Sus scrofa: one gene and its partner. The protein of the gene in region 2 binds, or shares a complex with, the protein of the main gene of each other region. Links are inferred from orthologs where the notes say so. Each region holds a gene or a part of one and is shown on either strand. Other genes may lie near its edges. The genes, in order: TAX1BP3 and KCNJ4.

Evidence for each region.
Region 1: the proteins of KCNJ4 (region 2) and TAX1BP3 are in contact, whole or in part, in a crystal structure (PDB 3GJ9), measured with the Homo sapiens proteins. The link is inferred for Sus scrofa from reciprocal best matches to the Homo sapiens genes KCNJ4 and TAX1BP3. Residues at the interface, in NP_004972.1 of Homo sapiens: Arg440, Arg441, Glu442, Ser443, Ala444, Ile445; in NP_055419.1 of Homo sapiens: Leu27, Ile28, Leu29, Gly30, Phe31, Ser32, Ile33, Gly34, Gly35, Asp38, Gln39, Gln43, Asn44, Thr58, Arg59, His90, Asp91, Arg94, Leu97, Thr98.

The regions. Positions count from the first base shown.
Region 1 is NC_010454.4:49,754,663-49,761,650, forward strand, and holds the start of TAX1BP3 (tax1-binding protein 3), read right to left. Parts: upstream 4,365-6,988; 5' UTR 4,250-4,364; coding exon 4,211-4,249; intron 1,364-4,210; coding exon 1,244-1,363; intron 855-1,243; coding exon 777-854; intron 484-776; coding exon 346-483; 3' UTR 1-345. Other genes in the region: EMC6 (ER membrane protein complex subunit 6), read left to right, coding at 4,885-5,217. UniProt on the Homo sapiens protein: May regulate a number of protein-protein interactions by competing for PDZ domain binding sites. Binds CTNNB1 and may thereby act as an inhibitor of the Wnt signaling pathway. Competes with LIN7A for KCNJ4 binding, and thereby promotes KCNJ4 internalization.
Region 2 is NC_010447.5:9,545,589-9,551,737, forward strand, and holds the end of KCNJ4 (inward rectifier potassium channel 4), read left to right. Parts: intron 1-1,549; 5' UTR 1,550-1,588; coding exon 1,589-2,932; 3' UTR 2,933-3,702; downstream 3,703-6,149. UniProt on the Homo sapiens protein: Inward rectifier potassium channels are characterized by a greater tendency to allow potassium to flow into the cell rather than out of it.

The DNA of each region.
Region 1 (6,988 bases), on a different chromosome or scaffold from region 2:
CCCTGAGTTTCCCAGCGGTGTGGTGCCCTCAAGTAGTGGGGGGTGGGAGGGCTCCTCGCCTGGGCACGGTTGTGGCCAAGCAGCAGGGTTTGGGGGCTGAGTCTGTGGTCATCATAGACTGATTCAAACTGGGCTCCAGGCCCTCGTTGCTAATCCTGTGTCCAAGGGAAAGAGCTCGGGCCCGTGGTGGGAGAGAAGGAAGGCTGGGTCAGGCCCCTGGGACCAGCTCTTGCCGCTCCGAGTCGGGGCCCAGCCATCAGAAGCCAGGACAAGGGACAGACAGAGCGTGGAGGTGGTGTCACTGCACAGAGGCGGGCAGGCGTGCGGCAGGGACCTTGGCAGCTGCTAGGACAGCATGGACTGCTGCACCGCCTTCTGCAGCGACTGCCGCGTCACCAGCAGCCGCACCACCTCCTCCGAGCGCTTGGTGAGCCGCTTCCGGGCCTGGTCGTGCGTGACCATGGTCATGTCCCAGCCGTTCACCTGGCCCAGGGAGAGAATGCAGCCCCCTCAGCTCGCCGCCCTCTGGGATCTGCAAGCAGGACGGGCTGTGGGGGGAACTGAGTCACCCAAGCTGACGCCCCAGATCTGGGGACACCAAGCGCCACCACACACAGGAAAGAGGGCTATGCCAGCATAGGCTCCGGAGCGGCTTTGGTGAGTCTCCCAGGTGCCCGGGGAGGCAGGCAGGGGCAGCCCCACACCCCCAAACGCACCCCACGTGCTTTAAACCCTCTGGCCCAAGCCTTGTTTTCCTCCTTTGGGATGTCTGTTACCTGCATGATCTTGTCCCCGATCTGCAGCCCGGCAATTTCCGCTGGGCCTCCTTCAGATACCCGCGTGACATAAATGCCCTGAAAAATAGGCCCCCCAAGTCAAGCACTGGGGTCACAGGACCGGCCTCTTATCCATAGAGCAAAGCCCAGCATGGCATACTCTTAGCTGTCCATGTGTCCACAGCCAGCACCCCCCAGCACAGGCTGTGCCAAGACAGCCAAGGGGGCAGCGGGGCAGCCCCACAGACGCTCCAGCCTCTGTCTGAGCAGGCTTCCTAGTACTGGGAGGGCTGGCAGGCCCTCTCCCCACCCCACCCCTCCTCACTCCCACCAGATCATGTCTTGGACCTTTTTAAAGAGGACTGCTTGCGAGAGATGAGGTCAGCTCCTTCCACAAAGGCCCAGGAAGCAGAGACCCACCATCTCAGGCCTCTGTGCCCCACGGAGAGGTCCCCAGACCCCCTCACCTTGTCTGTCTTATCTTCTGAGAAAGGATTCTGAGAGGGATCCTGGTCAATTCCACCTCCAATGCTGAAGCCCAGGATTAAGTTCTCACCTTGACGCAGCTTATGAATTTCAACTCTTTGCTAGCAAAGATAAAAAACGAGTTGGGGGCGAGTGGGTGTAGAGAATGTGGCCTGTGTCTCCAGCAGCAGCCTCAGGCAGCTGGGTAGGCTCGGAGCCATGCCACAGAGGTGGGGCCCAGGATCTCCTGCAGGAAGCCAGCTATTCACCAGCCTGGGAGGCTGGGGGGTTAAGGCTCAGAACTCAGCCACACCAACCCACCCACACAACCCTTCTCCCTAACCTCTCCCAGCTTCCTACGTCACAGGTACCAGCCTTCTTAACACAGACTAAGCCCCTCCTGGCTCTTGAGCCAGGATGCTGTGGCTGTTCCGGATGGGGTCTTTGTCCCAGGGGAGGGAACACAGGGGCAAGAGGGGTCAAGCTCTGAACAAAACATGTAGGCACCTTGCTGAGGCCAGCTCAGATTGCTAAGCCAGCCCTGTTGAGGGTGAGACAGGAGATGCTTTAGAACAGCGGGGATCAGACTTGCACAGAAGGGAGGAAGAGCTGTCCTGGCCAAGAGAACAGGAGCAGAGGCTCGAAGGTGCTGTGGCTACATTTCCTTGAGACGGGAGTGTATGGCACAGGACCAGAACCGGGAGGCGAGGTAAGGCTGAGGCGAGATGCATTAGACTGGTGAGTGCAGGGCCAGGAGACCAGCCTAAGGGACAGGACATCTCCCTAAGCCCCGGGGCCCTGCTATTGTGCAGTGTAGGAGGTGGATGCAGGGCCCAGGGCACCCTCACCACACGGTGAGATTGTGGACCCCAACGGTGCCAGGCTCCTTTCAAAGCCCTCAGCAGGCACCTTCCAGACCAGATGACCACCCCACACCCCCCAAAGTTGAGAGTTTTAACAGGAAGAAGGAAAAAACAAAGTAAAAGGCAACTGCATGTGACCTGATCTGGATCTGAGGGGCTTCATGAAGGAGGGGCCGTTTGTACCAGGCCTTGGGCTGACCAGGAGTTTGGCCACCTGACCTTGATTTTGGACCCACTGGAGCTCCCAGGAGTTGGGGAGTAGGGCTGACGGTAGATCATGGTCAGGTTTGATGCTGAAACGACCACCCAGGCAGTAAGGCAACAGATGTCTCACAGAGGTGGGACATCTCCGGATGGCCCATCATGCAGAGGCGGCAAGGGGAGCACCCAGCCAGCCATCTGGCCCCGCCTGGCTGAACACAACCATCTCCCAGATGTGGATCCCAGAGAAGGAGCATGTTGAGCTGGAGAACCAAGAGCTGTCCAGGTAGGTGTCCAGAAGGTGGACGAACCTATGGACCCAGAGTTCAGCGAAGAGGCCAAATGGTTTTAACACTGTCACAGCGTTAAGTATGTGGGAGAGGGCCTGGGGTAGGGAGGAGCCTCTTCCACCCCATCCCGGATCCAGGACACAGGAGGGAGAAGCCAGGCCCCACCCACCATATTCAAACATGTTCCTAGAGAAGAACCAGGGGGTCATGGTCCTAAAACTTAGAGGAAGGCCCAGGGGCCAGGAGAGACATGTGAGAAAGGGGAGCAGGAAGCATGACACCTGAGGCCTGCAGGACCTAGGTCCTCGTGTGTAAGAGTGTGAGCTCCTCCAGGCCTGCTCCACCTCTGGGGACACCTCTGACCCATCTCCAAGGTCTGGACTGGGAGACAAGGCCCCATCACTGACCTCCTGGGTGAGGTCAGGGAGGCTCCTGCCTCTTTGGTTCCCCACCTGCACTCCCTTTTTTCTAGCTAAAGAGCAAACCTGACCCCTTCTCTCTGGGGCAGCTAGAAGGCTGGAAAAGCCAAGCCGGTGCAGCCAGGGTGAAGCTGAGGACAGCTGTCAGCAGTCCAGGCCTGAGCTGGTGTGCTAAGCTCACCCTCACATGGCAGCTTTATCAGTGGCTCCCTGGTCACACCACCTGGCTGCTGGAGTCCCCAACACGCCCATCTGGATACTGCAGCCAGTGGCAGGGCCCTTAGGGCTACGACTTCCATCTGACCCATTCCTTGCCCAGCAGGCATTTCTGCTCAGAGATCTGGGTCCTTCTTGAAGCCTTCTTTACATGGCTGGGCATGGCCAGACATCTCTCTGGGACTCAATTTCCCCACCTCAGCCATGGAATGGGTCTCCAGGCCCCATCCAGCTGTGACATTGGCGTCTGAGTCTAATGTCCCAACTTCTCTGCCTATTCTCATAGCACTTGGCACCCAAGATGAACCAAGAGGGCAACCAGGGGCCTGAGCCGACCCCGAAGGGTCTCCTCAGGCCCCAAGTGCCAGGAGGGTGACCTGGGCTTTGCCCCAAGAGTTGTTTGGGGATCCAGGGAAAGTTCGGAGCGGGATCAAGTCAGTTGTATGAGCCTTCACTCTGGACCGACTGACTGTGCGTCCGAGAAGGCAAGGCTAGATGGGAGGGGTTGTAGGACTGTTACTCAGGCTCCGGCTACCTCCACCCGCAAGTCTTGGGCGGCGGCGCCGGCTGGAGCGGAGGAAGCACTTCCTCATTCCAGAGGCTGCGACTCATGGACTTTGGATCCGGCGCCCGCCCCCCGCGGCTACCCAGCTGGGGACACAGGCCTGGGAAGGGGACGCTTCCTAGACTCCCACAGCCGGGGCCTTTTCCCTCAGTAAGAAGAGTCCAGAGCGGCGGCGGCGGCGAGCAGGATCTGGCCTTGATCCCGGGTCTTCAGGAAGCTCGTGGGTCCCAGCCACCTCTTGCCTGGCTGGGGAAGACCACGGCTCCTGTCCCGCAGAGCGGGAACCGGAGCTCTGGCTGCGGGTTTGCAGGAGTCCCGGGTTCGACGCTTTGTCAACCTGTTTGGTGTATCAATTTACCTATCTGCAAAGTGGGGGCAAGCCAAAACTAGGAAGAGCCCGAGCGAGCGCACTCACCACCACGGCGGTGACCGGCTGGCCCGGAATGTAGGACATCTCGACCCCAATCTGGAAGCCAAGCGCCGCTCCCCGAAGCCTGCAGCGAGAATCCCGGTGGCCGCGCCCTCTCTGGTTAACAAAGGCTGCACGGCCCAGCCCGCCCCCTTATGAATAGTTAACAAGACTCCAGCGAATCACCTGCCGGAGCGCTGTCCGGCTCTCGGAAGTTCCCGTGCGTGCGTAGAAAAGCGGGGAAGTGGGTGGTGCGTGCTTGAGGCGTCCTCAGTGCGTGCGCCAGAGGCGGAGGGGGGGCGGGGAGCGAGGCCTTGGCGCGTGCGCAGCCTGGGCCTTCCCAGCATCCTCTGCGCAAGATGGCGTCGCGGGAGTCCCTGCTCTAGGCTGTCTGAGGGAACGTCGAGTGACTACCTCCGCCGCCGCGTTCCAGGTAAGTGGCCGAGTCTAGGCGGGAAATGCAGCTATGCGGCCAGCCGTCCCGAACCCTCAGCTTTCTCAGCGTTTTTCGAAGGTCCGAGACGCTGGGGGCGGGGAGGTGGTGCGAAGTCTTGGCAGCCCTAGGGAAAGGGGCGGCGTGAACCCAACTCGCCAGGCTCTGGGCGCTACTTGTAACGTGGTTCTCTCCGCAGCCCCGCGTTGCTTCGGGAGAAAGCAGAGGCCGAGTCCGGGTGGGTGCGATGGCCGCTGTGGTGGTCAAGCGGGAAGGGCCGCCGTTCATCAGTGAGGCCGCTGTGCGGGGCAACGCCGCCGTCCTGGATTACTGCCGGACCTCGGTGTCGGCGCTGTCGGGGGCCACGGCCGGCATCCTCGGCCTCACCGGCCTGTACGGTTTCATCTTCTACCTGCTCGCCTCCATCCTGCTCTCTTTGCTCTTAATTCTCAAGGCGGGAAGGAGGTGGAACAAATATTTTAAGTCGCGAAGACCTCTCTTTACAGGAGGTCTCATTGGAGGCCTCTTCACCTACGTCCTGTTCTGGACATTCCTCTACGGCATGGTGCACGTCTACTGAAAGGAGGGCAGGGATGACTTCTTTTTGAAAAGCAGATTGGGAGGACGGTTGCCGGAAATTAACAGCGTGTAGACTTACCTAGTTTTTAAATTGTTGGATTCGCTGCTTGTTCTGTAACGTTATGAATAATTTATATCTGAAGACGAAGAGCCTGTACTGTTCTTCAGATTAAATGAAGCGTGAGACCCTTTGTGGAGTTTTTTTCCTACCTTAAAGCGCCGCGCTCCGCGTCCCCGTCCCCCCGTCCCCCCCCCCCTCCCGCCGCTGTGGGTGCAGAATCGCCGGGTTTTGACTCTGGGAGAGCTCTCTGACTGCGCCTTAGCTTTCTTTCATTTCCTTGCATTGACACATGGGCTATTCGCAGAGGGGTCACTAAGGCCTAAATAAGAGAACTTATTAACATCCCGAGAACTAATAACAGTCAATACTTATTAAGTGTGCTCTATATACCAGGCATTGTACTGCGCACCTTTCACACTCATTTCTTTTTCTTTTTTTTTTTTTTGCTTTTATTAGGGCCGCACCTGTGGCATATGGAAGTTGCCAGGCTAGGGGTCGAATCAGAGCTGCAGCTGCCGACCTACCTCACAGCCACAGCAACTTGGGATCTGATCCGCATCTCTGACCTGCACCACAGCTCATGGCAGTGCCTGGATCCTTAACCCACTGAGCGAGGCCAGGGATTGAACAGGCATCCTGGTAGATACTAGTTGGGTTTGTTACCGCTGAGCCACAATGGGAACTCCTACACTCAATCTCATTCTAGCAGTATTCTTATGCAGTAGATTGATTCTTAGCCCCCACTGATGAATCTGAGGCTCAGAGAAGTTAAATACCTCTACCATAGGAGGCATAGCTAGGAAAAGGCAGAGCCAGGATTTCAGTGTAGGTCTTTTAATTGCCCGTACTGAATTATTTGAGTATATCTTTTCAGAGCCCAGTCTTCCCTCCCACTAACCACACCTTTCAGTTGTGAGTGGTGTCGTTTCAGTTCCATTTCACCAAGTCAGAGCTAGCTGTTGTTTCCATTTAAAAAATAAGTAAGTTCAGGGAGTTCTCATTGTAGCTCAGCAGTAACAAACCCAGCTAGTGTCCATGAGGACTCAGGTTCCGATCCCTGGCCTCACTCGGTTAAAGAATCTGGCGTTGCCATGAGCTGTGATGTAGATCTCAGGTGCGGCTGGGATCTGGCATTACTGTAGCTATGGCGTAGGCTGGCAGCTGCAGCTCTGATTTGACCCCTAGCCTGGGAGCTTCCATATACTGCAGGTGTGGCCCTAAAAAGAAAAAAAAAAAAAAAAAAAAAAAGGAAAAAAAGAGGTAAATTCAAGTTCTTTTGTGGTGCAGCCAGTTAAGGATCTGACGTTATCACTACTCAGGTGGCTGCTATTGTGCGGTTTCGATCCCTGGCCCTGGAACTTCAACGTGCCATGAGTGTGGCCAAAAAGAAAAAAAGAGAAATAAATTCAAGCTCTTTCTTCTAGACTGTGTCTAGTGAAGATTAAACAGACAATGGTTAAGCTAAACTTTGGGCTTGTCTAGAGTGTAAATGCCTCTGTCTCTATGTTAATCCATGATCCCTTCTTGTCAGGAGGATTATTTTAGAATAAAGTGCATACATTTAATTGAGAAATAAAATATGGTAGTAGAGTTAAGTAATGAGCATTTGCTTGTGGAATGTATAGTCTTAACTGGGAAGACTAGTAATACTTGTTTTCACAAATATTCAAATTATGGTAAGTGCTATGAAGAGCGTACACAGAAGCCCCAG
Region 2 (6,149 bases):
GGTGGGGGCAGGGTTCACTCTCCCTGGGCTGAGAGAGGGAGTTTCTCCCGGGAAGAGGCAGCTCTGAAGCTGTTGATCTCTAAATTACAGCGTTGGCGCGCACCGGTTGCTGCGGCAACCGAGTTGTCCTGAACCGGGGAAGTGTATAAACATTGCCACAGATGCACAATTAGATCAGGAAGAAGAATAGAACAGAAAATAGAAACTTCCAGCCTTATATAATTCTGGGCCAAAACGTTACTAGGAACCCGGGCCCGTGCCCAACCTCGGCCCTGCCAGCCGGGCAGCACCAGTTCTCTCCTGGGCCCCAGTGGAAGGGAGGGGTGAAGGGGGCCTGCCCACCATGGGCCCAGCTGGCATGGCCCACCACCAGGTAGGGTGAGAGGCCACCTCCACTGAAACAGCTGCGGATGCTGACAGGCAAATCCTGCCTCTCACCAGCCTATCCTGCTCCTTGGAAGCGGAAAGGCAGGAGGGCACCTGGCTTTAACAGAGCACCTCCCATCTCCTGGGGTCCTGCGAGGTGGGATTTTGATCCCCATTTTACAGATGAGGAAACTGAGGCTCAGTGAGTTAAAATAAGTTATCCGAGGATATAAAGCTACATGATGGGGCGTCTGCCTCCGCTACTCCAGGTCTCCACACCATGAACTATTCGATAGTGACAGCACCTGGGGCTGAAGTTAGCCATGCCTGGATTTGGACTCACTTACCACCTGCGATATGGAAATAGGGGTGCCTATCCGGGAGCCCAAGCTCAGGGCTCCCCTTAACTCTGTCTTGAACACCACATTGGAGCCTTCCCCCACCACTGCTCCCAACAAGTCTGGGGTCAGGACAGGAACTGAGCTGGGGCCATGGGTCCCAGCCCTGCCCAACAGAACCTTCTCCCATGATGAAGTGCCCTATATCTGCTCTGACCAGCTCGGCAGCCACCAGCCACATGTGGCCCCTGGGGAACTGAAGTGAACATTTTATTTCATGTTAACTAAGTGTAAGAGCCACAGGGGGCCAGTGGCTGCTGAGTTGGACTGCACAGGAGAATGTCCACCCCCGAGAGACCCAAGAGGGCAGAGGCTGGACCCAGGGAGATGAGCAGGGGCCCAGAGCATTCATGACTCCCTCTGTTCAGGGCAAGTGGGACAAATGTTGGGAGGACGATGCCGAGATGGGCATCAGGAAGCCTCCAGAACATCGGAACATCAAGCAAAGGAGACCCGGTTGTGCACCGGGAGTTGGGGAGGGAGGACGTGAGAGGCTGAGACTAGGACCTGGATCCTGGTGGCCTCAGCTTCTGGTCCAGCAGCCCTCAATCCTGGAGCTGGGCTGGCCGTGGAGGCACCGGCTCAGGCCCCTGCACTCCCTCCCTGTCGGCAGGACCGCCTTAACTTTCCCAGCCTTGCGTCCTGGTCCAGGCTCTTCCCCTCCTGAGCATCTTTGGGTGGGTGTCTTGCCGCCCTGAGCTGGGTTCCCCGGGTCCTAGGAGAGCCGCCCCCCAGCAGAGGCCACCACTCCCGGCATCTCACGTGTCTGGCTTCTCCCCCCTCAGGCCCTGCGTCTTCCCAGGTGAGCACGCCGGCTTCAGGACATGCACGGGCACAGCCGCAACGGGCAGGCCCACGTGCCCCGGCGGAAACGCCGCAACCGCTTCGTCAAGAAGAACGGCCAATGCAACGTCTACTTCGCCAACCTGAGCAACAAGTCGCAGCGCTACATGGCGGACATCTTCACCACCTGCGTGGACACGCGCTGGCGCTACATGCTCATGATCTTTTCCGCGGCCTTCCTCGTCTCCTGGCTCTTTTTCGGCCTCCTGTTCTGGTGCATCGCCTTCTTCCACGGTGACCTGGAGGCCGGCCCGGCAGGGGCCACGACGGGGTCCCCGGCGGGAGGCGGCGGCGGCGGCGGGGCGGCCCCGGCGGCCCCCAAGCCCTGCATCATGCATGTGAACGGCTTCCTGGGCGCCTTCCTGTTCTCGGTGGAGACGCAGACGACCATCGGCTACGGCTTCCGGTGCGTGACGGAGGAGTGCCCGCTGGCCGTCATCGCCGTCGTGGTCCAGTCCATCGTGGGCTGCGTCATCGACTCCTTCATGATTGGCACCATCATGGCCAAGATGGCCCGGCCCAAGAAGCGGGCGCAGACGCTGCTGTTCAGCCACCACGCGGTCATCTCCGTGCGCGACGGCAAGCTCTGCCTCATGTGGCGCGTGGGCAACCTGCGCAAGAGCCACATCGTGGAGGCCCACGTGCGGGCCCAGCTCATCAAGCCCTACATGACCCAGGAGGGGGAGTACCTGCCGCTGGACCAGCGGGACCTCAACGTGGGCTATGACATCGGCCTGGACCGCATCTTCCTGGTGTCGCCCATCATCATCGTCCACGAGATCGATGAGGACAGCCCCCTGTACGGCATGGGCAAGGAGGAGCTGGAGTCCGAGGACTTTGAGATCGTGGTCATCCTGGAGGGCATGGTGGAGGCCACTGCCATGACCACCCAGGCCCGCAGCTCCTACCTGGCCAGCGAGATCCTGTGGGGCCACCGCTTTGAGCCCGTGGTCTTCGAGGAGAAGAGCCACTACAAGGTGGACTACTCGCGCTTCCACAAGACCTACGAGGTGGCCGGCACGCCCTGCTGCTCCGCCCGGGAGCTGCAGGAGAGCAAGATCACCGTGCTGCCCGCCCCGCCGCCCCCGCCAAGTGCCTTCTGCTACGAGAACGAGCTGGCCCTCATGAGCCAGGAGGAAGAGGAGATGGAGGAGGAGGCCGCGGCCGCTGCCGCCGTGGCCGCGGGCCTGGGCCTGGAGGCGGGCTCCAAGGAGGAGGCGGGCATCATCCGGATGCTGGAGTTTGGCAGCCACCTGGATCTGGAGCGCATGCAAGCCACCCTCCCGCTGGACAACATCTCCTACCGCAGGGAGTCCGCCATCTGACCTCCAGGCCCGCCCTCGTCGCTCCCCACAAGAGCCTCTGCCGGGGTGGGATCCCAGGACCCCCCGCACACTCAGGACAGAGCTCACCCTGGCTCCGCGGACCTTCTGGAGGGAAGTGGGGGGCTTCGGAAACTGGGGGACCCCTTCTTACTGGCTCCAGAACCCAAGCCTGGGAACGGCCCAGGCTGCCCTCAGTCTGGGCAGCCCAGGTTGCCCAGCGCCCACCCACTGGTGACTCAGGGACCCCAGGCCCACCCCCCTCTTCCCACCGACCCTTCGAGGACATTCACCCTTTGCTCTCAGAACCTTGGGGAAGGCGGCTGGACTGTTGGGGGGGGTGGGCATCTTGGGGTTCTGGGGGGGCCGGTGGTTAGCTTGGGGGGCGGGAGGGGGGTGCGTTTCTTCTGCATGACTGTGGAGTCTGTTGCTCATGACTTTCTTTTGTAAATATCCATAAAGGGAGAGATGGAGGCACCAAACCCACCTTCTGCCATTTGTACCTGCAGGACGAGTTGTCCCTCGCTGTGCATCCCTCCCCCTCCCCACCCGTCAGGCCAGCCCCTTCCCCTGCCCAGCTGGCTGGCGGCTGGGGCCCCTCAGAGCCAGCTGTCCTAGCTCCTGGATAGCGCTGGGTTTGGGTGCAGGAGTGGGACACCCGGGAGTAGGAGGAGGGCCCTCCCTCCCTGTGGTCCCTCTGGGCCCCCAAGCCGAGCCCAGACTGACAATGGCGTTTGTAACTATATATTTTTAATAAAGTATATGGTCCATTAGGGCTAGGCTGGTTGAAGATGGAGGATTGGGAAGAAGAGACAGGGAAAGAGGGAGAGGGAGAGAACAATGAGACGTACGTGTGTGTGTGTGTGTGTGTGTGGAATGTATCTGCATATTGTGCATATGTGTGTATGGAGTGTGTGTGGTATTTGTGTATATATACATATGTGTATATATGTGTATGTGTGTATATATATATGCGTGTGTGTGTGTGTGTGCCCCTATCTGAGAGACTGACCCTTGGAGGGAACTTTATCTCCTCTTGCTAGTCCCCTTCTTGGGAGCCAGTGGGAAGGATCCTAAGTGGGCATAAGAGGTTTGAGTGGGTTGGAGGCAGCACTGCTATGAACTAGCTGTGTGGCTCTCAGAAAATTGCCCATCAGCTCTTGGCATCAGTTTCACCATCTGTAGAATGGGATGCACCACACATCCTTCCTAAGGAATGTCAGCCAACCCTTGATAATTGGGGAGAAGCGAGAAGGTCCTGCTTAGTTTATACCCCGCCCCCCAAACACTCACACATCTGCCTGGACTCATGAACTTGGCTGCAGGACACTGAGGTGTGAGGGGCTCTGGAGGCCAGCTGTGTAACCTTGTCATACATAGCTGGACTTGGCCTCTGCCTCACTGTAGGACTTCGGGTGAGTCCCTTCCCTTCTCTGGGCTTCGGTGAGCCTATGCAGTGTACAAGCCACTGTAAATTTAAACAGTGCTTTATTCGTTCTAAGACTCTGTGGGCGGGCTGGGTGGCTCCTTGTCTGGTTTCTCTGGGCTCACCCCGGCAGCCCTGCAAGCAGGAACGTTGGCTGGGCCATAAGGTCCAGGAGGGCCCTCATGTGTTGGGCAGTAGGTCCTGCTGTTGGCCGCAGGGGGCCTCAGTTCTCCATCAGTGGCCTCTCCTCCTCCAAGAAGCTACACCAAATTCCTTTACGGCATCTTAGGGCAATAGCTTAAGAGGGTGAAAGCAGAAGTTGCAAGGTCTCTTGAGCCTGGCCTTGAGCTTGTATAACATCACTTCCATTGCATTGGCCAATCCAGGGTGTGATTCAAAGGGTGGGAAATTAAACTCCGCCTCTTGGGAGCGTGGTCAACTCCCATCGCAAAGGTTTACACACCAGGTGGAACTGGGCCAGACTTGCTAGTCTATTACAGAAACTTTGCGTTTAAGGGTTCCTTCCAGCTCTAAGTCTATTGTACATGCCAACTGTGTACCCAACATTCGGGCAATAAGGAAGCAGCAGGCACCCTCCCTGTTCCCTGGAATCTTCCATGCAATCATGCCAGCTATCTCAGGAAAACTGCGGGGAACCAGCAGGTCAGCTCACCTGCTGAGGAGCTGGGAAGTGCTGTTGGCTGCTTTGTGAATGACCACATTTCATCAGCACTGGCAACGCTCGGCCATTTGGGCAAATCATTGTGCATGTCACATGCCTTAACAGTTTAACAGGAGAACCTGAGGCCTCTTTCCTGGAGAAAGGGGTCCAGGTTCCCAACAACGCATCACAAGTTCTCTCATTTGCATCACACCTTTCAAGGGCTTTGGGACGAGGATTTGGTTTCAGAGAGGAAACGGAGGCCCAGAGAACCGAGGGACTGACCTGAAGCAAGGTGAGGGTGGTCAGAAGCCCCAGTCCAGGCTTCCCTTCAAGGGCCCGTAGGGGCCACTCGGCCAGACAAAAGTGCAGCTGCTCACCTGCCCATGCCCGTGGGCCTGGTGCCCTTCTCTCAGGTGGGAGCATCCCAGGTCTCACTCCCCACCCCAGTGACCGTCCCACCATCCAGCCCTGGGAGGACCACCCTGGATCTCATCCTCTCCTCCCTGCTGCGTCTCAGCCCTGCTTGGTGCCCTGAGCAGCCAGCTGTAACCAAGGAGGACCTCAGACTCAGCATCTGGGACTGGGAACACTCTTAGGGCCGCCCAGCCCCCCACTGGCAAGGGCAAGGGGGGAGCTGTAGGTATGGATGGGCCTCCTGGCCTGAGTGACACGGGGGCACTTCCAGATCCCTCCCAAACATCTTCATTGTCACCGTCTTGTCACTTGCTCAGACGCTTGTGACACATGTGACAGTGGCTCCTTAAGGAGGGCCCATCTCTTGGTTTACATGTGAGTGTGACCCAGGGTAGGTAAGTTTTGACAAGGGCCGAAGCAAAGGCTTCCTGGGGTGTCCAAGTGGAGGGCGCTGGGGATGGGCATGGGGTGGGGGCCCCAGGGGCATGAGCCCGGAGCCCAGACGTGAGCACCAGTGGAGGGCAGGCTCCAAGGCTGCAAAGCCCTGCTGCTGTGCTCTGCGCTGACTCACCTTCCCTCTCCCACCTGCTCCCTTCAGAGCCTCCCACCCGCCTTCCCCGCCCCTGCACCCAGGCAGGCAGCTCCTCTGATCTCTCACTGCACTTGGGCTCCAGGCGGCACTGAAATAGGGGGGATCGCTGACTCTGGGGGTGTAA